Macaca mulatta: one gene and its partners. The protein of the gene in region 3 interacts with the protein of the main gene of each other region in a pairwise test. Links are inferred from orthologs where the notes say so. Each region holds a gene or a part of one and is shown on either strand. Other genes may lie near its edges. The genes, in order: SCEL, NECAB2, FXR2, PCBD1, NME1, FBP1 and LCP2.

Region 1 (4,070 bases), on a different chromosome or scaffold from region 3:
CTGTAATCCCAGCACTTTGGGAGGCCGAGGCGTGTATATCACCTGAGGTCAGGAGTTCGAGACCAGCCTGGCCAATATGGTGAAACCCCGTCTCTACTAAAAATACAAAAATTAGTCAGGTGCACACGTGTAGTCCCAGCTACTCGAGAAGCTAAGGCAGGAGAATCACTTGAACATGGGAGGCGGAGGCTGCAGTGAGCCAAGATCGTGCCATTGCACTCCAGGCTGGCAAAAAGAGCGAGACTCCATCTCAAAAAAAAAAAAAAGCAACAACAAAAATGACTTTTGATTCAGAAGTGAACTTGGAACAACTCCAGCTATGTATGCAGCAATTAATATATAAAAATCTTTATTTCAAAGTCCCTAGCCAGAGCAAATGGAAAATGATCAACAAATGGTCTAGAAGCAGGATAATGACAGAAAGTGAAGCCAAGTGAAACCAATAAAGATTTCCCTTGGACTGCAGGGCCAAAGATTTGATCCCCTCACTCTTAAGAAATGGTGGGAGTTGATGCCTGAACCATATAGGATGCTCTCAGTTAAACAATGTTTGCTTAAGTTGACTGCTTAGTTCATTCCACAGTATGAGCTCAGTCATTCAAAACATATTCTTTGTTTTGTTTACATAGTCCCCAGGAATATGAACCTCTCAGGTATTTCATCATAATTCTGGTAGTCTGAGAAGGCAGTCAGGTAAGCATCACCTACAGAATGGCATTCGGGGCGAGGGTGTTCTGATTGTACAGACCACAGCTAACACACATACATCAGATCCCCTCCCTGCTGAGGGGCTACTGGATCCTGAGATGAAAATCTCATAAATATAATAAATGGCAACACTGATTCCACAAGCCACAAGTTGGAAACATATGTCTACGTCTTCCATTATGTCTTAGTCACACCATACACAGTATAATATTTCCACATATTGCTGGATAACCACAGTCTGTGATGGAGTGTGGTTCGTTTATTGCTACTACATATTTTATAATAAAAAGTATTTGAAAAAAATATTGAGAAAATTCAGTAAGACAAAAGACAAGCAATTTGGCTTCATGTTCTGGTTCTGCTACTCTGATCTTCACAAGTTACTTAACATTTATGCTTTGTTTTTCTCATCTAGAAAATTCAGGCATTAGACTAGATGGGCCTATGCTCCATTTCAGTTGAAATATTCAGTCAATTAGATCTAAGATTTACACGAAGCTAACATTCCAATAAAAATTCTGACCTGTTGTTGGCATTCTCTGTATATCCCAACATTTAGGATCATCTGAATGTTTTACTAAAATTTTTACTGTTGTCATTTCTCAGTTTTCTCAAATTGATGTTTCTGATACTTTAAACACTGGAGCACTGCAAATATTAGGAAGGCTATATCTACGTTATAAACTGTGGAAGTGAAAGACAGTTTTAAATGTAATCACATTTTATGAAAAATAAAATTACCCACACATGCTATGCTTTAGTTTTCTGGTTACTATAAACACTTGAAAGCCAAGTTATAAAATTCTTCGGTAAACCTCTGGGAAATGAGCACTGAGCACTGGTGTGCCTAAACCCCTCTCAGACTGCAGGTGACCTGGTCAGCAATAGGAAGCCATGAGAACTCAAGTACTAAAGATAGAGCCAAGTATGCTGTGGGGGCGCCTCTCTGGAGGACACAGACCTGCAATTTGCAAGCTGTGAGTGGCCCCTGCATTTGAATTCCACAGCTCTGTATCATAAATAGAAATGATTAAAAAAAAAAAAAAACACAAACCAGACAAGTCAGCTTAACTATTAATTACAAAAGAACTCTTCTATCCTTACCAAAAGTCTCCCAAAACTGGTTTTTCAGGACTAGGCTATGAATAAAGTTTGAAAATTGCCCCCATATATATTAATCACTCCTTAGGTTAGAATGCAGAATATACTGTAGAGAAGTTGGCCAGATGCCCACAGATCATATATACCCCTATTCTGCCCCCACACCCTGCCTTTACTCCTTGGTACTTTCAAGTAAGAAATGGCAATTTTCTTATTTGGGGAAGATAGGGTGGAGACAAAAACCTCATAAAAATAAACCTCTCTCTCTCATAGCTCAACAACTTGCAATATTTTTAGCAGTAGAGAAAAAATATGACTTATTAACTATAAAGCAATATTTGAGTTCACTATTTCACTAAAAGCATCATTTATGAAAACAGAAAGTTCCTTTAAAAAATGTTTGTATAGTCACTTGAGAAAATAAACCAGCAGGTGCTGGTCCCTTCGCTTAAATAATTTATTATCCTTTGTGTGGCAGGATTCACCAGCTGACAGCTCCCACCCAGAAAATCAAATAGGTGCTCATTTCTGTGATGCCCGTAATGTGTAAAGTTGCCAAGAAGTTCAATGCAATGTGGCCTAAAAGTACAGCAAGGAAGAGCAGAGCTAACAGTCAGCTGGAGGCTGTCAAAATTTATAGGAAGAAAAGACAAAGATAATACTGTAAGTTCTAATTTTAATCATTTGAAAGGAACACAGAGAAAGCTGTGCACATACAGCAGATGTATTTCTGTTTGCAAGTATAATTCAACTTACCTCTATTGAGCAGAAAACCAGGACTTTTTGGCTAACCGGCCTGTAGTGATTCCCTGGGAGGATCTGACTGAAAGAAATGGGAACCTAGAGTTTATTCAGTGGAGTCTCAACCTCTACCTGACTGTATTAATGAACAGTTCAGAGGTTTCTTTCTCAGCGGCTGAGTCACTCAGGGAGGAGGTCTGTGGTATGCAACAGGGTGTCACCTTGTACAAATACCAGTTCAATTAAAACAGTCTCACTCGTGAACCTACGGCCTTTGTTTGGTGAATTCTTTAACTTACGGCCTTGTTATGCAAATATATATATATATAGATACGCTCCTGTGATTGCCCTTTAACTGATATCAACAATATGCACAACCATATCACTGACAAGGTGGCATAGGACCCAATCTATTTTGCATTCTCTTTCAAAAAATAAAACTGAAAACTCAATAGAAGGAACCCCCATATGCCCACAGTACCTGGAAGGCAGGGGCACAGACAAGCATGCAAGGAGTACATGGCTTAAAGGAAACTTCAAGACAAACAAGTTCTCAAAAACCCAGGAACCCTAGGATCAGAAAACACGAAAGAAGTCTGTTCCAAACATTCTACACCTAGAATATTTTGTAAAACTATCAAAGGGAAAATACACCCAGCACATAAGAATTCTAATCTCTATCTTATTTATCCATGTATAAAAAAATGTGAAAAAGGGCCAGGCGTGGTGGCTCATACCTGTAATCCTAGGACTTTGGGAGGTGGAGGCAGGCGGATCACCTGAGATCAGGAGTTCAAGATCAGCCTGGCCAACATGGTAAAATCCTGTCTCTACTAAAAATACAGAAATTAGCTGGGTGTGATGGCGCACACCTGTAACCCCAGCTATATTTAATAACAGTAACATACCATGATAAAGTCATAGACAGAAATTTTCAATGCCAGGCATCGCATAGGGGAGAGAAGGAAGAACCTGGAAGGTGATGTTGATGCAGAGTTTTAAAGTCTTAGTAGACAGTGATTAGATGGTCAAGAAGAACCATTCATCCACTCTGGCAGGAGGAGGCAGGAGAATCACTTGAACCAGGGAGGTGGAGGTTACAGTGAGCCAAGATTATGTCACTGCACTCTAGCCTAGACAACAGAGTGAGACTCTCTCAGAAAAAAAAAAAAAAAAAAAATGTGAAAAGGATGGTTGAAACTTCTCTCATAACTGAGGGCAGCAGTAGACCCAATGTCAAAGGTTGCTTCTGGCCAGTTGCAGTGGCTTTCATTTGCACTTTGGGAGGCCAAGGTGGGAAGATCACTGGAGCCAAGAAGTTTGAGACAAACCGGGCAACACAGTGAGAGAGATCTCATCTCTACTGAAAATAAAATATCAGCTGGGTGTGATAGTGCATGTATTTGTTCCCAGTTACTCAGGAGGCTGAGGCAGGAGAGTCTCTTGAGCATGGAAGGACCAAGCCACAGTGAGCTGTGATCACACCACCGCATTCCAGTCTGGGTGACAGAGTGAGACCC
Region 2 (2,757 bases), on a different chromosome or scaffold from region 3:
GCCCGTCCCTGGAGCATCGTGCCTGGTGAGTGTCTTAGTTGGGCCACACTGCGTGGTCTGTGCCAACCATGTGACTTATGGTGGGGGCTTGAGCCACAAGGTGTCAGCCGTGTCTATGTCACCGAACCCCAGTAAGACTTGGGACTGCATCCCTGGTTGGTGATGCTCTGTCTGTTGAAGCTGGGAGGGTTCAGTGATGTCTGTGGCCTTTACTGGCAGCCCCTGCCTGGCCCCTGTTCCGGGAGCCTCTTTCTTTGCTGGATTTTGTCTGTCATCCACCTTGACTTTGACAGTTGCGCCCAGTCCTCTGAGTGAATTACTGACCTGAGGGTGGGGGTGGTGCCCTCTGGGCTCCTGAATAGGCATGAGCCTATGTGTCAAAATACCGCATAGAGTGAACACCTCCATTTTATGGTTCAGAAAACGGAGGCTGGGGGCACTTGCAGGGTGCCCAGGCCCCTGCTGCTGTCAACCAGGAACAGACACAGAGCACACAGCCCTTCCCAACCAGGGTTTATTCGGCGCCTGGGCCCAGTGGCGGCGGCCTGGCTAGGTTGGGCACTACAGGGTCCTAACTCCTACCAGGTAGAAGAATGTCACTGAAGAGGGCAGGGCGTGGTGAGTGCGGGTCATGCGTGGCCGTCTGAGGGGTCGGGGAGAGGCCAGGACCAGGAGGTGGGGGTGCTGGCCCCAGGAAGCCGCCCCCTTCACCCACAACCTTGGGCTTCACCAGGACCGGGCAGCACAGAGACTGCTCTGCCTTCTCGGGTGGGGGCAGGGGAGGCCTCCTTCACGTCACAGCAGGGAAACACCGTGTGGAAGACGGGTTGAAAAGACAGCCTCTGCACCAGTTTCTAGAACACAGGGGATGTCCTTCACAAGCAGAAGGGGCCAGGGGTGGGCTCCTCCGCGGGCCTCTGGGAGGCTGTCAGTCCCGTCCCACCGTGCACCAAACAGCTAGAAGGACAGAGACAGGTTAGAGGGAAGGAGTGCGAATGTGGGTAGCTGGTGGGGGCCGTCTTGAAGGGCAGGTGGGGAGATGGCTTTGAGTCCTTATGTGACCCACGGGTGCTTGCTGGTCACCCAGGAGCAAACCACACACCTGGGAAGGGAAATTCAGTCTGGCTAGAAGTAGCGGGCTGTGGAAGGGGTGCTCTGGTGCAAGCTCCGGCCGGCATGCCTGGATGTGGGGCCACCTCAGGGCTGGCTCTGAGCCTGGAGCTCTCCTCTCCCCCTAGGACCCTCCCTGCACACCTGGCATTGGGGTCAGGAGCTTGCAGGCAAGTCCCTGGGAGAGGCGGGGTGGCTTCTAGGCTCTTGCCCGGCTCTCCAATCAAGTGGCCACTGCAGTTCCAGGCCTTCGCCCCCTACCTGGCACCGAGATCCTGGAGAGGGCCTCAGGCTGGCTCAGTGTGTCCACCTTGACGTGCCGGAACGCCTTACACACGGGACTTTGCAGGTGCCTGCGATCCAGGGAGATGTGTTAGGGGCACCAGGAGTGGAGCTTGGCATGTGGATCCCCTGTTAATCCTAGCTCTGCCCAAAATGGGGAGCTTATAAATAAGCCCGGGGGGGGGGGTCTTTGGACTCCAAGCCTTTGTGGGAAGGTGAGGGGGTGCCTAGGGAGGCTGACTCTGGGGTAGGCACTGAGCCTTACATGGGCAGTGGCATCCCCCTACTCAGTGCACAGAGCATCGACCTCCTGTTTTACCCTAGGAGGAGGAGTGGGGCCATCCTCCGCCTGGGACGGATGACAACACAGCAGCTGTGAAGGGTTTTAGTCCCTCATTTTATGAGTCACTGAAGTACGGACAGGCAGGGGACACCCTCACTTCTCATGACAGCCCCTGTTCCCACAGGGGTCCTGAGTTTCTCTGCAAACTGTGTTTACCGGGGAAGCAGGATATCGGGGCATGAGCTACCCCCAGGCCCTGCTTCCTGCCTGTGGGGTCTGGCGCATCAGAAATTAGGCTCCGCCCAGAGTGGGGAACAACCTGTCCCAGATGTGCTTGGAGCAGACGACAAAGGCCTAAAGCCCATCAGAGCTGATGACACCCTACCCCATCTCCCTCCCTCCTACAAGGCACTCAGCTGGGGGGGAGGTTAAGCGCTGGAACAACTGATCACATGGGGACTGAGGTACCTTCTAGGTCAGGTCCTCAGCTCTACAGGGTGATAAAGAAGGCAGTGCCTTGGCCCACAAGGTGCTCTACAGGGAAAGAGCGTGGTGGGGGGTCTCTCTACCCACCAGGAGCTCCTGGCTCCAGGAAGACAGCCCCCACACCTGCTATGGAGACCCAGTGTCTCACCTCTTCCATGCCTCCTCCGTCTCCCAGAACTCATAGATGACAAAGGTGAAGCCATCCGAGAGCCTCACGGCAGTGATGCTGCAACAGGAGACAGACAGGCAGGGAGGCTGGGGCTCAACCGTGGCCACCCTAGTCCTGTAGCCCACCCCTATACACAACCGCTGCCTTCAACCTTTCTGGTCCTCCAGCGAGACTCAACAGGGTGCCCCCACCACCTGGAACAAGGCCTGGTTTCTTATAGTGGCCAATAGCTATTTGTCAATGACATGTAGTTTTTCTTTTGAGACAGGGTCTCACTCTGTTGCCCAGGCTGGAGTGCAGTGGCACAATCACTTCAGCCTCCCAAGTAGCTGGGACTATAGGTGTGCACCACTTGGCCTGGCTAATTCAAAAAATGTCCTAGTAGAGCTGGGGTCTTGCTATGGTCCCCACGCTGGTCTTGAACTCC
Region 3 (3,500 bases):
GCGAGACTCCGTCTCAAAAAAAAAAAAAAAAAGAAAAAGACTAGCCTGGCCAACATGGTAAAACCTCGTCTCTGCAAAAATACAAAAATTAGCCAGGCATGATGGCAAGTGCCTGTAATCCCAGCTACTTGGGGGGCTGAGGTGGAAGAATTGCTTGAAACCGAGAGGTGGAGGTTGTAGTAAGCCAAGATTGCACCACTGCACTCCAGCCTGGGCAACAGAGCGAGACTCCATCTGAAAAAAAAAAAAAAAAAAAGCCGGGCACGGTGGCTCAAGCCTGTAATCCCAGCACTTTGGGAGGCCGAGACAGGCGGACCATGAGGTCAGGAGATCGAGACCATCCTGGCTAACACGGTGAAACCCCGTCTCTACTAAAAAGTACAAAAAACTAGCCGGGCGAGGTGGCGGGCGCCTGTAGTCCCAGCTACTCGGGAGGCTGAGGCAGGAGAATCGCTTGAACCCGGGAGGCGGAGCTTGCAGTGAGCTGAGATCCGGCCACCGCACTCCAGCCTGGGCGACAGAGCGAGACTCCATCTCAAAAAAAAAAAAAAAAAAAATCAGCGCACACTGGATTTTAGATGCTGTTACCACAAATGGAAGGCAAATCCCCTGAAACTGGGGATGTCCCTCAGAGTTTGGCTGATCATAACAGTGATGAAAGGGGAACTGTTGCATTTTACATTTCCACAGGCATGTAGCCTATGGAAATGACTTAGTGGCTGGATATGGTTTAGTTGGGGAGGAAGGAATATGAACCAACCAGAGAAAAGCCTAGAATCCTGGGAAAACGTGACATTTAGAAAGGGTGTACTCCACAGCCCTTACCTCCACTTCATCCCCTTCTGTGATCTCCTTATTATAGTCAGCTGGAGGTGGTAGTCGGACATCTCCAAAAGGAATTTGTCTCTCACTCTGCCAGCTGTAAGAGAAACAAGAATATGAAAAAGCTACTCTGACTGATACGGTTGCCCATTTCTTTACAAAAGGGTTATTGCCTCGGCTGGGCGATTCCCACCTATCTGGATAATCAGAGGCTAACCCCCAGGTCCTGCTCCATAGTGGTGCCATCCATCTCTTTCTAGACTCTAAATACTGGGCCAAACGCCCCCGCCCTCACCAAATTCTCAGCCCTTTCCTCTCCTGGGATCCATGTAAGTTCCCCACCCAAACCCTCAGGTCTCCCCACCTATTACATGCCTCATAGGACTCAGCCGCCCCCTCTTCTCCACTCTCCTTCTAGGACCTAGTATGCTGGATTCTCTATTCCCAAGGTCTTACTTGTTTTCAAAGAAGATGGTGACAGAGTCTTCATGGACATCCTTCACAAAGCCCTAGAATGGATTTTAGAAAAAAGTAAAAAATATAAAATGACCTTTTACTTCCACCTTAGCCACCAAGGGAATAGAGACACCACAAACCCTTAAACTTGAGTTTTAGATAGGGACACAAGTGGTGTAATGAGAGAGCCTGAAAGGCTGCACTGGGGAAAGAATATGGGCAGTCAGACAGAGAAAGGAAATTATATTGTCATGGAGAGGTGTATGTACCACCTGCATCAGAACAGCCTGGAAACCGGTGATCTACTCAGGCTCCCACAGGGGCCTCCCTATCTGTCTGCCTCCTGTTGTGCTGAGCAGCCTGCCAGAGTTCAATTAAAATACCAACAACATTCAGCAAGGCTAAGAATATCCCATGAGACAGTGTGAGGCTGTCCTGGAACACCTAGAGGACATGAGGATCTGTCAAGAGAGAGAAAGGCCTACCTCCGCAATACAGCAAGAGATCTGAGCAGACTCGCTGCCCTGATGCATGGGTCCTAAGACAATAATCAGAACACTAGACAAGTTCAAAATTGTGATGAACACAATTTACAGAAGGAAAAATTAAGACTTAAAATACATCAGAGTTTTTTAATACTAGAATTGAATCTAGAATGACACTGAAAATTTATAAAGGATAACAAAATGTATGGAAGACTCCAAACTTGATATTATGACAAGAGGAACAGGGACGACTGAACAGCTGATCCATCTCCTGTGGTCTATGTCCTCACTAAGGAGGCCAAAGCCATGAGTTCACCCCTGCGCTCCCAATTTTTCTACCTTCCCCCTATTTGTCACATACAATTAGGGATTTCTAATTTTGAAAAAGGTCTAGCTTATGAATTTATTATTTTATCAACTGTGCTTTTGGTTTCATATCTAAGAAATCTTTGCCCAGGCCAGGCACAGTGGCTCACACCTGTAATCCCAGCACTTTGGGAGACAAGGCAGGCCGATCATCTGAGGTCAGGAGTTCGAGACCAGCCTGGCCAACATGGTGAAACCCCATCTCTACTAAAAATATAAAACTTAGCCAGGCATGGTAGTGCATGCCTGTAATCCCAGCTACTTGGGAGGCTGAGGAAAGAGAATCACCTGAACCTGAGAGTCAGAGGTTGCAGTGAGCCAAGATCGTGCTATTGCACTCCAGGCTGGGCGACAAGAGCAAAACTCCATCTCAAAAAAAAGAAAAAAGAAATCTTTGCCTAATCCAAGGCCACAAAGGTTTTCCCTTATGTCTTCTTAAACTTTTAGTTTTTTGTTTTACATTTACATCTATACTCCTTTATTTTTAGACAGAGTCTCACTCTGTCACCCAGGCTAGAGTGCAATGGCACAATCTCTTGGCCCACTGCAACATCCACCCCCTGGGTTCAAGCAATTCTCCTGCCTCAGCCTCTCGAGTAGCTAAGGTTACAGGCAACCGCCACCATACCAGGCTAATTTTTCATATTTTTAGTAGATATGGGGTTTTACCATGTTGGCCAGGCTCGTCGCGAACTCCTGACCTCAGTTGATCCACCCGCCTCGGCCTCCCAAAGCTGGGATTACAGATGTGAGCCACTGTGCCTAGCCCTATAATCCATTTTGAATTAAGTTTTACATATAAAGTGAGGTATTGATCAACGTTTTTTAAATTTTTTAATTTTTATTTATTTTTTTTGAGACAGAGTTTTGCTCTTGTTGCCCAGGCTGGAGTGCAATGGTGCAATTTTGGCTCACCGCAACCTCCGCCTCCCAGGTTCAAGCAATTCTGCCTCAGCCTCCCAAGTAGCTGGGATTACAGGCATGTGCCACCATGCTCAGCTAATTTTGTATTTTTAGTAGAGACAGGGTTTCTCCATGTTGGTCAGACTGGTCTCAAACTCCCGACCTGATCCACCCGCCTCAGCCTCCCAAAGTGCTGGGATTACAGGTATGAACCATTGTGCCTGGCCTCTTTTTTTAAAACATATTTTTATTTATTTATTTTTTTTTTTTTTTGAGACGGAGTCTCGCTGTATCGCCCAGGCTGGAGTGCAGTGCCCGGATTTCAGCTCACTGCAAGTTCCGCCTCCCGGGTTTACGCCACTCTCCTGCCTCCCCCTCCCAAATAGCTGGGACTACAGGCGTCCGCCACCTTGCCCGGCTAGTTTTTTGTCCCGGCTAGTTTTTTGTACTTTTTAGTAGAGATGGGGT
Region 4 (4,024 bases), on a different chromosome or scaffold from region 3:
TTTACATAAATTTAAAAATACATATAGACGAAACAACACCACACATTTTGCAAGAACGTGTGCAAACAAAAATACACATTAACACATTAGAGAGGCTGCTATGGGCCGTGGCGGCGGGCGGGGGGGAATAAAAATGGAGTACAAGAATAAAAGGTAACAGAAAAAATGTAAAATGTGAGAGGACTTTTCTAACCTGACTCTAAGACTTATTATAAAGCTATAATAATCAAGACAAGGTAGCGTCCTGTCATGATGGACAAACAGATCAATGGAACAGAAGAAAGGGCTCAGAAATAAACCCACACATATATAATCAATTGATGTTTTACAAAGGTGCGAAGACAATTCAGTGGAGAAAGGAATAACTGAATCTCCATGTGCAAAAGTGAATCTGGATCTATAACTTGAAGCATACAAAAATATTTACTCAATGTGGATCACAGACTAAATGTAAAACCCAAAGCTCTAAAACATAGGAGAAAACTTTTGTGATCTCGTGTTAGGCCAAGATTTCTATGCGTACAACATCAAAATAGAAATCTATCAAAGAAGCATTTGATAAATTGGATTTCATCAAAATTAAGAACGTTTGCTCTTTGAAAGGCAGCGTAAGATAATTCAAAGAAAATATTTGAAAAGCACTGCCTGATCATGTCCTTATATCCAGAAAAAAACACCCTCAAAACTCGGTAAGAAAACAAACAACCCAATTTCTTTTTTAATGGGCAGGAAATTCAAACATGCTATTCACCAAAAAAGACTTATCCTTAGCAAATAAGTACATGAAAAGATATTCAATATCATTAGTCATCAAGGAAACTTGATATGTTCATAATCTTGATCTCAGTGTCGGTCTCACGAGGGAAACATTAAAATTCATCAAATTGTACACGTTGAATATGTGCAACTTATTGCATGTCAATTCTATCCAAATAAAAGATTTTTATAAAGAAATAAATAGTTATTCTGGCGCCCAGGGCCACCCAGCTGTAAGCGGCGGGCTGGGATTCCAACCCTGAAGTGGGCATTTGGAGCCCTCATGCTTCACCCTAGCTCCCTGAAACAAGCTCGGAGGATTGGCTCTGAGCAGCGAGGAAAGTGCTGGAAGGAAGCAGGCCGAGCGCGTCCCTGGCTGGGGACGTTAATCATTACCGGAGGGCGGTCCGAGCGCGGCCCCGCCCCGGGACGGCCGCCTGCGCGCCCGGCCGCCGCCTGCCCTCTCCGCCGGCCACCTGCTGCCGCCCGCGCCATGGTGAGTCCAGGGGTGCGCCGCCGCGATCGGGGCAGCGGGGCCGGGGCAGCAGCGGGCGAGGTGGGAGCGGGACGGGGCGGGGGAGGGTCTTTTCGAGCCTCCTGCGGAGCCGCCGGGGTCCGAGAGTGGGGTCTCTGCCCGGGTCCCTGTCGCCGGCGGCGGGGAGGGGAAGCTGAGGCCCTGAGAGGGGCATGGCGGGTCCCGGTCCCAGCCAGTTGGGAGGCCAGGCCTGCCCTGACCCAGGCCAGTGCTTGTTCCCGGACCCTGCTGGGGGCGGGGCCTACGACCTTACAGGGCCGGGGAGGACCGTGGTGGGAGAGTTCGCAGATCTCGTCCCCTTAGTGGCCCGATTCGGCTTTATACTGGGGTGGGAGCGAGAGGCAGGCTGAGTTTGCGCGCTCCTGTGCGTACCCGTCCGCGCCCCTTCCCGCTCGCACTCTGGATACAGGGTCTGTCCGCCTGGGACTCACGCTCTGAGCCCATGTGCGGTCCCGGGCTCCAGAGCCAGCCTCCGCGCCGGTTTGAGGCCGGTGCCCGGCCGCGGGGGCTTGGTGGCGCAGGAGCAGCCCTCCTCCCGGGCTAGCTTCCCCCACCTACCCCCGGGGCGGGGGCGGGCCCCTTGCTCTGCTGTAAGCTCGGGCGCTTCATCAGACCGTTTCTGGCCCACAGGCCTTCGGAGCAGGCAAGACTGGGAGGGCCTTTTGATGGGAGAGGGACTTGGGGGAGGGAGGATGAGTGGGGCTGTTTGTGAGGGGCGCTGAGGCCCCCAGAGATGCAGGCTTGGGAAATCGGCGACCACTCCCCACACCTCGCCAGAGGAGGCAAGACCTGGCGGGGATTTACTAAGCAAACAGGGCACCGTCCCCCTCTCCAGAGCCGGCACCTGGAAGATTTGTCAGTTCAGCCCCAGGCTCTGCGACTTGGGGGGTTCCAGAAGGCTCTACCGAGAAAGGGAAGCCTCCTAAGAGCTCACCTGGACTCACCCATCCCTTTAAGAGCCAAGGAAGTAAACAGTGGGCTCTGATGCTTTGGCTGACTTCTGGTTGTCTGGATACACGGACCAGGCAGTCAGCCACGGGGAGAGGGCCAGCTCTGGAGTAGAGACCTCCCTACTGGGCAGATGATGCAAATCGCTGCTGCCATTCAATCCCTGTAGCCATCTAGAGCCGAGGAGAGGAGAGGGGCCAAGCTCCCTCAGTCCGGAGAGAGCTCACGTTTTCAGGAGGGAAACAGGAGGGAAAAAAGACGGACTTAGGAAAGCACTGCGATGCTTCAGCTACCACAAATGCTACCAGGCCCATCACAAGCCTACTTGCCTTAGGAGGTATTTTTTTGTAATGCAGATGACATTTGCTTTATAGCAGTGGAGTTTCCTAAAGTGTCCCATTGGCACCTCCTGATGATCTGTGGAGGTAGAGGTTCTGCCAAGAGAGGTACAGCCACCTGGCTGGTAAATGGTGAAAGCGGGGCTCAAACTTCCTGCCAATCAACACATGGTGTTCAGTCTGCAGGCTGCCTCATAAAAGCTAAATTAACCTCCCTCACATTCCCTCCTCACCCCTAAGTATTTCTTTTCAATTCAGCACTCTATTTCTGCCCTTGGGTGGTGCTACTCTAGAAGCCTAGGTTCTGGGATCCGTTAAGGTCCTAGACCTGGATCCTCCTAGGATGAAACTGACCCTTGCTTCCTTGCATTCTCTGAGGTTCCACTCATGGCCTGAATTGTGCCAATTTGGGCTGCGTTGAGGGCACTTTGCACATTAGGTAAATAGGACAGGGCACTAGGTTTGCCAGCTGCCTTTGGCCAAGTTCCTTCCACTTTGGGGACTGAGTTCTGTGGCCTGAGCTTCCCAACCAGCCAGAAAAGCAGATGGAAAACCGGAGAACCTAGCCCTGGCGGCTCAGGACCAGAGGCTGCCTGGGAGCATGACTGAGGACCTACTAGAGGTAGTGCCAACACGGTCAGCTACAGTGTGGCTAAGAATGGGCTGGACACTTATTTTAAATGCAGCTCCTTTGTCCAGCCCCAGGGATGCTGACACACAGACAACACTGCGCCATCCCTGGCTAGGGGAGGGCAGGAAAGAACAGCAGACAAGTCGTTTCCCCTCTCTAGGCCTGTTTGCTCTTCAATACACATGAAAGTTACCGTAGGGACGTGGGGTGCATATGATAAAGTACATAATAGGAAAAGGAAGGGGGGACAGTCATGGTACTCTTCCTCAGAGGTTGTGGAGTAATATATTTGCATCTGGGATTTATTTTGCTTTTACGCCCTCACTGATGTAATAGATCTTATGGAGGGGAAGGTCTGTAAGGCTTTGAGGGCAGGATAGGGGAAGAGTGTCTCTGTCCCCGTCATATGAATTGCATTGCTTTTGGGATTTCCTTTCTCTGTGTGGAGTGTAAAACCCAAGACCTGAGAGCCTATCAGCGGACAAGCCTGGACCCCACCTCCTGGGCAGAGTGCCACCCTTGAGGGCTTCCAGCTTATTGCTCAAAGACCTGCTGCCCTTGGTCACCCACGTCCAAAGCAGCCAGTGGAGGCTGGCTAAGTTCCCCTAAAGGCTGGAGCCCCTGTTTTGACCTATAAAAAGAAATGCTCTTGGGCCTCGTTTTTTCCCCTCTTCTAGGCTGGCAAAGCACACAGGCTGAGTGCTGAGGAGAGGGACCAGCTGCTGCCAAACCTGAGGGCCGTGGGGTGGAATGAGCTGGAAGGCCGCGATGCCATCTTCAAGCAGTTTCATTTCAAAGACTTCAACAGGGTATGGC
Region 5 (3,327 bases), about 50 Mb from region 3:
GTTGAGGGCCAGGCATGGTGGGTCACGTCTGTAAGCCCAGCACGTTGGGAGGCCGAGGCTGGAGGATCACTTGAGTCCAGGAGTTTGAGACCAGCCTGGGCAACATAGTGAGACCTTATCTCTACAAATAATTTTTTAAAATTAGCCAGGTATGGCTGGGCGTGGTGGCTTACGCCTGTAGTCCCAGCATTTTGGGAGGCCGAGGCAGGCAGATCACCTGAGGTCAGGAGTTTGAGACCAGCCTGGCCAACAACCCTGTTTCTACTAAAAATACAAAAATTGGCTGGGCATGGTGGGCGGGCATCTGTAATCCCAGCTACTTGGGAGGCTGAGGCAGGAGAATCACTTGAACCTGGGAGGTGGAGGTTGCAGTAATCAGGATCGCGCCACTGCACTCGAGCCTGGATGACAGAGGGAGACTCTGTCTCAAAATAAATAAATAAATTTTAAAAATTAGCCAAGTCTGGTAGTGTGTGTCTACAGTCCTACCTATTTGGGAGTCTGAGGCAGGAGGAACACTTGAGCCCAGGAGTTTGAGTTTTTTAAAAATGAGATAGCTGAATTTAATTTTAATGTTCTGTGGTTTTATTATCAGTCAATGCCAATAGGGAGACAATTGATATAAAATTGGAGAAGTACTTTTAGTCCTGTCACTGCTCCCTTCCAGTGTGGAGAATGAATTGGGTTATAACAGAATCAGTGAGCCCAACCACTCATGTTTTACATAGCAGGGTGGATGAGGGGAATTTACATGGATTGTATGTTCTTAGATGGTTTGGGGCCATTCTCATTCTCCGTCCTGTTGAATAGGCCTCTGAAGACCTTCTCAAGGAACACTACATTGACCTGAAGGACCGTCCGTTCTTTGCCGGCCTGGTGAAATACATGCACTCAGGGCCGGTAGTTGCCATGGTGAGTGTGCCTGTGTGAGATACTCCAAGTATGCATTGCTTGTCGTCTGCGCTAGGCTCTCTTCTAGACACTGGGGATACAGTCATGAGTGAGACCAAATAGATATCTATTTTCATATATCAGCTAATGGTTAGTGATAGGCCCAGAAATGAATAGGAGTAGCAAGTGATCACTTTAGAATGGATGATCAAAGAATGCAAATTTTAAGCTGTGATCTGAATGACAAGAAGCAGCCAGCTATGTACAGAATCACAGTGAAAAACATTTCCAGCCAAGCAAACAGCATGTGCAAAGGTCCCAGGGTGGGAATGAGCTTGGCGTTTTGAAGTATGGGAGGAGAATTGAAATGCCCGAAGCCTGATGGGTGGGAGAGAAGTTGGGATGTGAAGAGTTCAGAGGCATGGGCAGGGGCCTCCTCTCTTAGGGGTGTGTTGACCATGTAGTTCCTGAGTGCTGGGAAGCTATGGGACACTTCACACTTGGCCTTTTTTTTTTTTTTTTTGAGATGGAGTCTCGCTTTGTCACCCAGGCTGGAGTGCAGTGGCACAATCTCGGCTCACTGCAAGCTCCGCCTCCCGGGTTCACACCATTCTCCTGCCTCAGCCTCCTGAGTAGCTGGGACTACAGGTGCCCACCACCACGCCCGGCTAATTTTTTTGTATTTGTAGTAGAGACGGGGTTTCACTGTGTTAGCCAGGATGGTCATGATTTCCTGATCTCGTGATCCACCCGCCTCAGCCTCCCAAAGTGTTGGGATTACAAGTGTGAGCCACCGCGCCCTGCCCACACTTGGCATTTTAAGGAGGCTGCTCTGGTTGCTGAATGGAGAGTACATTGTAGAAAGGCAAGCATCAGGGCAGGGAGACCAGGATCCCTAGTGCCGGAATAAGTGGATACTCTAAATATTTGTTCAGTGAATGAATGTCATCTTAAGGGGCCTTTTTATTTTTTCCTATTTTTGGATTAATAGTTGCCAGATTTTCTGCTGAGATGGGTTTTCTTCTTTGACCATATCTTCTTCTGTCCTTGGAGGTCTGGGAGGGGCTGAATGTGGTGAAGACAGGCCGAGTCATGCTCGGGGAGACCAACCCTGCGGACTCCAAGCCTGGGACCATCCGTGGCGACTTCTGCATACAAGTTGGCAGGTGAGATTTTGCTCTTTTTCCCCCTTTTCCAAAATCTGATTTAGTTGCCACAAGGATTTGGGTTTTTGAGGCTGGAGGTAGACATGATACCATATGCAGGTTGATTTTATCGGAGTTTATTGTTTTCCTCCCCCTTAAGTTGGTGTTTGGCTTTGGTTTTTAAAATCACTGTAGTTGTACCTCCGTTACACGAAGTGTAGAACCTGGTACAACACACTTTGCTGGCCACAGTCTTTCCTGAAGGCTCTTACTGTTTGCACCAGTGTGACCGGGAGGGCTGAATGTGGGGAGGGCATTTTTCACCCTTACATGAATGGCCATTGTAGGCTTTTTCTTTTAACATGGTCTAATGTCCATGGAGCTTCAGCTTTTATGCTGCCGTGGCTGTAGATTTCTGGCAATGGGCGCATTTTAATCCTTCTGGTCTTGGTCATGTGACTATCTCTTTCTCCACCCAGGAACATTATACATGGCAGTGATTCCGTGGAGAGTGCAGAGAAGGAGATCAGCTTGTGGTTTCACCCTGAGGAACTGGTAGATTACATGAGCTGTGCTCAGAACTGGATCTATGAATGACAGGAGAGCAGGCTACAATGCTTTCACATCCATTTCTCCTCCTTCCCATGGGCAGAGGACCAGGCTCTAGGAAATCTAGTTATTTAAAGGAACTTCGTCATAATTTGGAAGGAAGCTCTTGGAGCTGTGAGTGCTCCCTGTACAGTGTTACCATCCCCTACCATCTGATTAAAATGCTTCCTCCCAACTTAGGATTCATTGAGTTGGTTACTTTGTATTGTTGTATTTTTTTTTCTTCTTTTCATGTACACTGAATAACCTGACCTAATAGAGAATGTAAATACTATAAAAATTATTTATATTGAGATCTCACATACACACAGGCATTCTTTGCCTGCCCTTCTTAACCCCTGCGTCCCTTCCACTCTTGGCATGGAGCTACTCAACAGGCATCTATGGAGCATCTGCTACATGGCCAAGACTGGACTAGGTGCAGAGGATTCATCAGAAATAATACATGAGGGCTGGGTGTGCTGGCTTGTGCTTGTGATACCAGCTACTTGGGAGGCTGAGGTGGGAGACTAGCCTGGGTAACAGAGCAAGACCCTGTCTCACTAAAAAAAAAAAAAAAAAAAAAAAAATTAGGCTGGGTACAATGACTCATGCCTTTAATTCCAGCTATTCAGGAGGCTGAGGGGAAGAATCGCTAGAGGCCAGTACAAGTCCAGCGTGGGCAACACAGCAAGACACTGAC
Region 6 (4,217 bases), on a different chromosome or scaffold from region 3:
GCAGGTGGACAGGGGGGCAGCACGGGCAGGTGGACAGGGGGGCAGCACAGGCAGGTGGACAGGGGGGCCAGTGACAGGACGGGCAGGTGGACAGGGGGGCCAGTGACAGCACAGGCAGGTGGACAGGGGGCCAGTGACAGCACAGGCAGGTGGACAGGGGGGCAGTGACAGGACGGGCAGGTGGACGGGGGGGCAGTGACAGGACGGGCAGGTGGACAGGGGGGCCAGTGACAGGACGGGCAGGTGGACAGGGGGGCCAGTGACAGGACGGGCAGGTGGACAGGGGGGCCAGTGACAGCACAGGCAGGTGGACAGGGGGCCAGTGACAGCACAGGCAGGTGGACAGGGGGGCAGTGACAGGACGGGCAGGTGGACAGGAGGGCAGTGACAGGACGGGCAGGTGGACGGGGGCCAGTGACAGGACGGGCAGGTGGACAGGGGGGCAGTGACAGGACGGGCAGGTGGATGGGGGGGCAGTGACAGCACAGGCAGGTGGACAGGGGGGCAGTGACAGGACGGGCAGGTGGACAGGGGGCCAGTGACAGGACGGGCAGGTGGACAGGGGGGCAGTGACAGGACGGGCAGGTGGACAGGGGGGCAGTGACAGGACGGGCAGGTGGACAGGCCTGGGCAGGGGCCGGGCAGGAGGCCGCGCGGGCGGGTCTGCGGAGCGGGGGCTGCTGGGGGTTTCGCTGCCCAACTGGGGCGCTGAGCAAGTTACTCAACCTCTGTGAACTTCCGCGTCATGATTGTGGAGGAAACTCCGGCAAAGAAACAGCTTTTCTCTCCGGCGGGTCCGACGGCCCGAGCCCCGCCCCGCAGCGCAGATGGAGGGCGCGGAGGCTGCGGGGGCGGCGCGGGGAGGGTCCGAAGATCCGGCGGGCGGAGCCGCGGGCTGGGCGGCGGGAGGCGGCGCGGGGTGTTCCCGGGGGTGGGGGCGGGGCCGACCCGCGGCTAAAGGTTCCCGGTTCACCCGCCCGCGCCGGGCCTGGCCCAGTCTCACCGCGAGCGCCGCGGACACTCGGGGCCGCAGTCGGTCTGTCCGTCCTCCCGCCAGGTCCCGCCCCGCACCTGCCCCCGCACCTGCCCCCACACCTGCCCCCGCACCTGCCGCCGCACCTGCCCCCGCACCTGCCCCCGCACCTGCCGCCGCACCTGCCCCCGCACCTGCCGCCCCGCACCTGCCGCCCCGCACCTGCCGCCGCACCTGCCGCCCCGCACCTGCCCCCGCACCTGCCCCCGCACCTGCCCCCGCACCTGCCGCCGCACCTGCCCCCGCACCTGCCCCCGCACCTGCCGCCGCACCTGCCCCCGCACCTGCCCCCGCACCTGCCCCCGCACCTGCCCCCGCACCTGCCGCCCCGCACCTGCCCCCGCACCTGCCGCCGCACCTGCCGCCCCGCGGCCCGGCCCCAGCATGGCTGACCAGGCGCCCTTCGACACGGACGTCAACACCCTGACCCGCTTCGTCATGGAGGAGGGCAGGAAGGCCCGCGGCACGGGTGAGCTGACCCAGCTGCTCAACTCGCTCTGCACGGCCGTCAAAGCCATCTCCTCCGCGGTGCGCAAGGCCGGCATCGCGCACCTGTGAGTCGCCTCGGGCGGGGCCCGTCTGTCTGTCTGTCTGTCTGTCCGTCCGCCCGGGGAGCCTGTCCGGCGCTGGGCCCTCTGGTCCTCCTGCGTCAGCCTCTGTCTGTCCGTCTGATGTCCGGGCGCCTCTCTCGCTCTGCGTCTGGTGGCCCCTCTCTGCGGAAGCTGGCTCAGCCTCACTCAAGTTCTCACCCCCTCCCTTGACCTTGGAGGGGCCACCTGGGGGTCCGTCTCGCAGGTGCACGCCGGATTCCATCCTCGTGCCCCTCTCAGCCGGCACCTGGCCTGCCCGTCATACCCGCCCTGGCCTCAGACAGGAAGTGCTGGCTCAGGTGCCTTCCGTCCCCATCTCTTCTTTCTCTCTTTCTGTGATGAGGCGCCCAAGTCAGGTTTCTAGTCCAGTATCTCTGACCCGAAACGAGGCTTGTTAGGAGCGAGTGTCCCCCTCCCAAGCAGGCTGGAGGTCTCCTGTGTGTCCAGAGCCTTTAGGAGCAGCAGCCTGGTGTGCAAAGGAGCTCCCGTGGGCTGCCCCTTGCTGGGACCGTTGCCATGCTGTGCCAGAAAGAGGAAACACCCAGGGCTTCAAAACCCTTATCCATTTGCAATGACGGTGTGTGCAGCCCCCACCCAATTAGTGGAAAGCTCAAAAGTTGTTTGTAGAATGGTTTCGAATGCTCTGTGGGGTGCATCTCGAACGTCACTGGGCACCGGAATCATTGGGGATCTTGGTAAGACGTGTGCCCTCTTTCCGTCGCTCTGGGACGGGTCCTGAGATTCGGCATTTCTGAGAAGTCCTCCTGTGGTGGATGCTGCCGGTCAGATACTGTGTGTCTGCTGATCTCATTGTGAGTAGCAAGGGGTCAAGGCGAGGGGAGACTCAAAGGACCCCTTCTTGTGAGGTTTTTGTAAGTCACACAACATCCTTTCGTTTGTGTTGGTGTGCACAGGTATTTTCTTTTTCTTTCCTTTCTTTCTTTTCTTTTCTTTTCTTTCTTTCTTTCTTTTTTTTTTTTTTTTGAGACGGAATTTTGCTCTTGTTGCCCAGGCTGGAGTGCAATGGTGCGATCTTGGCTCACCGGAACCACTGCCTCCCGGGTTCAAGCGATTCTCCTGCCTCAGTCTCCCAAGTAGCTGGGATTACAGGCATGTGCCACCACGCCCAGCTAATTTTGTAATTTTTTTTAGTAGAGACGGGGTTTCTCCATGTTGGTCAGGCTGGTCTCGAACTCCCGACCTCAGGTGATCCGCCTGCCTCGGCCTCCCAAAGTGCTGGGATTACAGGCATGAGGCACCGTGCCCAGTCGTGCACAGGTGTTTTCTAGCTAACTGATCCACACTTTTAACTAAAGGGTAACTGGGTTTTCAGATTGTCCATACACCTTCCTAACATTTCCTGCACTTACGTACGCTATAAAAATGACACATGATGGACCGGGCGCGGTGGCTCACGTCTGTAATCCCAGCACTTTGGGAGGCCAAGGCGGGTGGATTGCCTGAGGTCAGGAGTTCAAGACCAGCCTGACCAACATGGTGAAACCCCGTCTCTATTAAAAATACAAAAATTAGCTGGGTGTGGTGGTGTGCGCCTATAATCCCAGCTACTCGGGAGGCTGAGGAAGGAGAATTGCTTGAACCCTGGAGGCAGAGGTTGCAGTGAGCCAAGATCGCACTATTGCACACCAGCCTGGACGACAAGAGTGAGACTTCATCTCAAAACAAAAGACACATGATGCTCAGAGCTGACCTGAACAAATATAATCCCACTACTTTGGTTTGGAATGCATGTCTCCATTTTTAAAATCTCTTCTCCGCCCCCCATCCTGCAATCTAGATTCCTCTTCTTACTGGGAGGCTGTCTGGCGTTGGTCCCACAGTATGGATTGGCGGAGATCATTCATGTAAAGGAGTTGTATGATCACATTTATTTTTGAATATTAAGCAGACATGTTAAGGAAGGCGATGACTCCATTGCTGTTGCCTCTGGCCCCTCTTAATAATACATTCCTAAGGATTCTTACTTTAGAAACACACCCAGGTGAAATCTTATTCAAGCTTTAATTTACAGCTATTATAGGTGGCTCACAGCTTTAACTGCCTTTGAGGACCAGGGATATATTTTAAAAAGAGGGCTGTCGACTGGGTGCTCACACCTGTAATCCCAGCACTTTGGGAGGCCGAGGCAGGTGGATCACCTGAGGTCAGGAGATGGAGCCCAGCCTGGTCAACAAGGTGAAACCCCGTCTCTACTAAAAATACAAAAATTAGCCAGGCATGGTGGCGGGTGCCTGTAATCCCATCTACTTGGGAGGCTGAGGCAGGAGAATTGCTTGAACCCGGGAGGCGGAGGTTGCAGTGAGCCGAGATTGTGCCACTCTACTCCAACCTTGCGACAGAGTGAGACTCTGTCTCAAAAAAGTAAGTCTCAGAAAAGAAAAAAAAAAGGGCTTCTCATGTCTGATAGCTTAAAAAATGGTCAGTACCTGTCACACTCCTAGAGAGACTTAGAAATGTAAGATGTGTTTTGAAGTGTCCCACTTCCTAAGTAACCTTAGATAGTGGGACCTCAGATAGTGAGATTTTGATAGTAGGGCCTGGATGAAGCATGCTAATTTTGGCTACAGAAGATA
Region 7 (3,500 bases), on a different chromosome or scaffold from region 3:
GGGACAGAATGAGCCAGTTGTAGGAAGAGCTGGGAGAAGAACATTCTAGGCAGAGGGAAACAAGTGTAGGGATGCCAAAGAGGGCATGACCTTGAGATTTTCCAAGAACTGCAAGAAGATTCTAAGGTGGAGACCCCATGGGTACTGAGAAGGGATCACAGGAAAGAGTTGAGAGAGCAGACGTGGGCCAGCTCAGGCAGGGCCTTGCAGGACATTACCGAGTTTTAATTTTGTTTCTAATGTGGTAGGAGCCACTGGAAGTCTTATCAGGAAAGTGACATGCTCACTCCGCTGCCTGCAGAAAAGAGCTTACGTGGCAGAGTCTAGAACAGGGAGCTCAGATAGGAGGCTACTGCAGTAGTTCAGGGAAGAAATGGTCATGGATGTTTTTAGGCAGAACATGAAGATAAGGAAAAGTGAGCAGATCCAGACAGGTTTTGGGAGTGCCAGGTCTTGCTGATGTATTGGAAATGCTTCCTAACGTTTGGATCTTTATGCAGCCACTACCACCACCCCAGACCAACCACGAAGAACCCAGCAGAAGCAGAAACCACAAAACGGCAAAGCGTGAGTACAAGGGCTGCTCTCTCTTGCCCTGTTCCCACCAGGCACTCCCCTAGCCCCACCCCATCCCCAGCCGACTGCTTTCTTCTTTTCATTGATGTCAGCCTTTTCCCCTTCCAGTCCCTGCTCCTTCAATAGACAGAAGCACCAAACCTCCCTTAGATCGTTCATTAGCTCCGTTTGACAGAGAACCCTTCACACTAGGTGGGTATGATTCACATTTAATGCATAGTAATAATGATAAGCTGTTATAAAGTGCTTCCTGCATGCATTTCACATGCACCATCTCATGTAACTATGGCCACAATACTAGGAAATGGAGACTAGTAGAATCATCCTCATTTTACAGATGAGGAAACTGAAACACAAAGAGGTACCTTCCCAAGATCACACAGCTACCAAGTGATGGGAGTAGAGACCTAAACCCAGATTTGCCTCATTAGAAAGCTCCTGCTCTCTGCTCCTGGGGGTGGTGCTGCTTCTCTATGTGATGTGTGTGATCTGTGTACAGAAATCCCATTGTCCTTCAGCCAAGAGGCTTTGGGGTACAGAGAGAGGATCTGAATTGAGACAAGGGGGTTAGGGGAGCTGGTGTCTGCTGCCTTGCCTGCTACTTAGTAGCTCACAGACCACTGGGATGTTAGTTTTTCAGGGCTCAATCTCCTAATCTGTAAGGTGGATGTTCTGTACATAGAAAATGCTTTATAAAATCCCTAAGGTGCTATTCAAATGTCAGGGATGTTTTGGTTTTAGGTACACAATTGACCAAACTTGGGTATACCACAGTCCTTTTTCTTCACAATTTACACGGAATATTCTTGGATTGCAGTTACCTTCATGGGGAGCTATTTTCAATTCAATTCTAAAACTTAGCTACCATTTATTGAGCAACTACTGTGGGGCAAGTGCTCTACATACTGCGAATACACCTACAGTATCTCTAATCCTCACACCAACTCAACAAAGGACATGCATTTTTATCCTCACTTCTCAGATGATAAAATTAAGGGTCAAAGAAGTTGAATAATTTGCCTAAATTTGAACCCTCGTCTTTCTGACTTCTAAGTGGGGGCTCTTTTCCACCATATCACGCTGCAGTTGAGGACCCTGGGTTTTAACTTGCTGTGAACTACATGAGTCTGAGGAAGGAACTCTGTAACTGAACGGAAAGGAGCTCAGAATCCCAGCTGCCCCTCACCCCTTTCTTGGCTGTGCTCTGAGCCAGGCATTTAGCTTTCTGTGGCCTCAATCCCTTTTTGTCTGTCAGCAAAATGACTTTCAGTTCTTGGATTTGAGGCTGCTGCTCACTGCTCTTTCCCCGAAGTACATCACAGCTCTGCTGAGTCATGCAAACCTATGCTGGCTGTTTTGGCTTGGAATCATCTGCTATAGAGAGCTGTGTAATTACATGGAAATGAAGACAGATTTGACTTTAGATTCCAACCCTGCTCACTGCCATGAGCCAAGACATCAGAAAAGTGGAACACTGACATCAAATCCTTCACAATCCCCTCCTGACACAAAAGTTATTATTTTAAAAGATTCTTTTTTTCTATATTTAAAAACATTTTTAAAAGACACACTTTTCTGACAATTTCTGTTTTACCCTTGAATTAGTCCCTTTTCTGTGATGTTTTGGAAGGATTACTGACTTCTTAAAATGTTTACACTCCACATGAGACTTTTAACGTACTCAGAGAATATGCAAAAATTGGCAAATTTTAACATACTTATTAGAGGTTCCACCCCAAAGCAAAGTTTCATAAACAGCTTTTATACCATCAAAACTCTCCCACTACCAGCAAGTTCCTTTTTTTTTTTTTTTTTTTTTTTGAGTCAGGGTCTCACTCTGTCACCCAGGCTGGAGTGCAATGGCACCATCATAGCTCATTACAGCCCCAAACTCCTGGGGTCAAGCAATCCTTCTCCAGCCTCTCAGAGGGCTGGGATTACAGGTGCATGCCACCATGACTGGCTAATTTTTAAATATTCTGTAGAGACTGGGGTTTCCCTGTATTCACCAGGTTGATCTTGAACTCCTGGCCTCAAGTGATTCTCCTGTCTTGGCCTCCCAACAGGCATGAGCCACCACACTCAGTGCCAGTAAGCTCTTCACAGTGAGGCAATATTCTTATCATGGGCCTGGCATATTCTTGGTCCTTAAAGAATAAATCATGTTGTGAAAATACAACTCCACACCATTCGCCATGGGGCATTAGCTGCGCCTGGGTGTGGAAGGAAGGGAAAGAAAGGCGAGTTCACTAACAATCGTCAGCCCATATGACCATATCAAAGTCAAAATAAAAACGTAGAGGCAAATCTCTAAATTTGTTTTATTTAGGAAGAAAGAATTGCAATTTGGGGCAATTGGTCTTCAGGGTCTTCAGTATGTCTGAAGAACATAAAGAAGATTGGAGGTTTTATTGAAAAGAGAAGTGTTACATATCGCTCATTGACAAAGTTCATTGGTTATAGCCGGGCGCCGTGGCTCATGCCTGTAATCCCAGCACTTTGGGAGGCCTAGGCGGGAGGATCACGAGGTCAGGAGATTGAGACCGTCCTGGCTCACATGGTGAAACCCTGTCTCTACTTAAAAAATACAAAAAAATTAGCCGGGCATGGTGGCGGGCGCCTGTAGTCCCAGCTACTAGGGAGGCTGAGACAGGAGAATGGCGTGAACCTGGGAGGCGGAGCTTGCAGTGAGCCGAGATCGCGCCACTGCACTCCAGCCTGGGCGACTGAGTGGGACTCTGTCTAAATAAAAAGAAAAAAAGAGAGAAAGTTCATGGTTCTGGGGGGCTGGCAAGTTTTGATTGGTGAGCGATGGCAGAGGGCAAATTAATCTTCAAGTGGCAGCAGATTATTTCAGCAACTACCAGATAAAAGTGGTTTCAGGTTACAGCAGGCAGTTTCAGCAGCCAACCTCGCACAGAATC

Evidence for each region.
Region 1: the proteins of FXR2 (region 3) and SCEL interact in binary tests that used the Homo sapiens proteins (3 or more experiments, as listed by UniProt). The two-hybrid records come from large-scale screens. The link is inferred for Macaca mulatta from reciprocal best matches to the Homo sapiens genes FXR2 and SCEL.
Region 2: the proteins of FXR2 (region 3) and NECAB2 interact in a two-hybrid assay, tested with the Homo sapiens proteins (2 studies listed by BioGRID and IntAct). The link is inferred for Macaca mulatta from reciprocal best matches to the Homo sapiens genes FXR2 and NECAB2.
Region 4: the proteins of FXR2 (region 3) and PCBD1 interact in binary tests that used the Homo sapiens proteins (3 or more experiments, as listed by UniProt). The link is inferred for Macaca mulatta from reciprocal best matches to the Homo sapiens genes FXR2 and PCBD1.
Region 5: the proteins of FXR2 (region 3) and NME1 interact in binary tests that used the Homo sapiens proteins (3 or more experiments, as listed by UniProt). The link is inferred for Macaca mulatta from reciprocal best matches to the Homo sapiens genes FXR2 and NME1.
Region 6: the proteins of FXR2 (region 3) and FBP1 interact in binary tests that used the Homo sapiens proteins (3 or more experiments, as listed by UniProt). The two-hybrid records come from large-scale screens. The link is inferred for Macaca mulatta from reciprocal best matches to the Homo sapiens genes FXR2 and FBP1.
Region 7: the proteins of FXR2 (region 3) and LCP2 interact in binary tests that used the Homo sapiens proteins (3 or more experiments, as listed by UniProt). The two-hybrid records come from large-scale screens. The link is inferred for Macaca mulatta from reciprocal best matches to the Homo sapiens genes FXR2 and LCP2.

Annotation. Positions count from the first base shown.
Region 1 is NC_133422.1:72,337,079-72,341,148, reverse strand, and holds the start of SCEL (sciellin), read right to left. Parts: upstream 2,801-4,070; 5' UTR 2,566-2,800; intron 1-2,565. UniProt on the Homo sapiens protein: May function in the assembly or regulation of proteins in the cornified envelope. The LIM domain may be involved in homotypic or heterotypic associations and may function to localize sciellin to the cornified envelope.
Region 2 is NC_133425.1:79,364,322-79,367,078, reverse strand, and holds the end of NECAB2 (N-terminal EF-hand calcium-binding protein 2), read right to left. Parts: intron 2,388-2,757; coding exon 2,310-2,387; intron 1,464-2,309; coding exon 1,372-1,463; intron 958-1,371; coding exon 929-957; 3' UTR 501-928; downstream 1-500. UniProt on the Homo sapiens protein: May act as a signaling scaffold protein that senses intracellular calcium.
Region 3 is NC_133421.1:9,095,700-9,099,199, forward strand, and holds part of FXR2 (RNA-binding protein FXR2), read right to left. Parts: intron 1,634-3,500; exon of another isoform or gene 1,557-1,633; coding exon of another isoform or gene 1,551-1,556; intron 1,332-1,550; coding exon 1,279-1,331; intron 920-1,278; coding exon 826-919; intron 1-825. UniProt on the Homo sapiens protein: mRNA-binding protein that acts as a regulator of mRNAs translation and/or stability, and which is required for adult hippocampal neurogenesis. Specifically binds to AU-rich elements (AREs) in the 3'-UTR of target mRNAs.
Region 4 is NC_133414.1:78,748,809-78,752,832, forward strand, and holds the start of PCBD1 (pterin-4-alpha-carbinolamine dehydratase), read left to right. Parts: upstream 1-1,224; 5' UTR 1,225-1,249; coding exon 1,250-1,252; intron 1,253-1,564; exon of another isoform or gene 1,565-1,934; intron 1,935-3,885; coding exon 3,886-4,017; intron 4,018-4,024. UniProt on the Homo sapiens protein: Involved in tetrahydrobiopterin biosynthesis. Seems to both prevent the formation of 7-pterins and accelerate the formation of quinonoid-BH2. Coactivator for HNF1A-dependent transcription.
Region 5 is NC_133421.1:58,843,836-58,847,162, reverse strand, and holds the end of NME1 (nucleoside diphosphate kinase A), read left to right. Parts: intron 1-810; coding exon 811-912; intron 913-1,944; coding exon 1,945-2,057; intron 2,058-2,515; coding exon 2,516-2,633; 3' UTR 2,634-2,827; downstream 2,828-3,327. UniProt on the Homo sapiens protein: Major role in the synthesis of nucleoside triphosphates other than ATP. The ATP gamma phosphate is transferred to the NDP beta phosphate via a ping-pong mechanism, using a phosphorylated active-site intermediate.
Region 6 is NC_133420.1:128,832,751-128,836,967, forward strand, and holds the start of FBP1 (fructose-1,6-bisphosphatase 1), read left to right. Parts: upstream 1-1,417; coding exon 1,418-1,587; intron 1,588-4,217. Other genes in the region: uncharacterized protein LOC144334803, read right to left, coding at 1,000-1,155, 1,222-1,419. UniProt on the Homo sapiens protein: Catalyzes the hydrolysis of fructose 1,6-bisphosphate to fructose 6-phosphate in the presence of divalent cations, acting as a rate-limiting enzyme in gluconeogenesis. Plays a role in regulating glucose sensing and insulin secretion of pancreatic beta-cells.
Region 7 is NC_133411.1:179,132,062-179,135,561, reverse strand, and holds part of LCP2 (lymphocyte cytosolic protein 2), read left to right. Parts: intron 1-500; coding exon 501-567; intron 568-684; coding exon 685-768; intron 769-3,500. UniProt on the Homo sapiens protein: Adapter protein primarily involved in signaling pathways within T-cells, as well as other immune cells such as platelets, mast cells, and natural killer (NK) cells.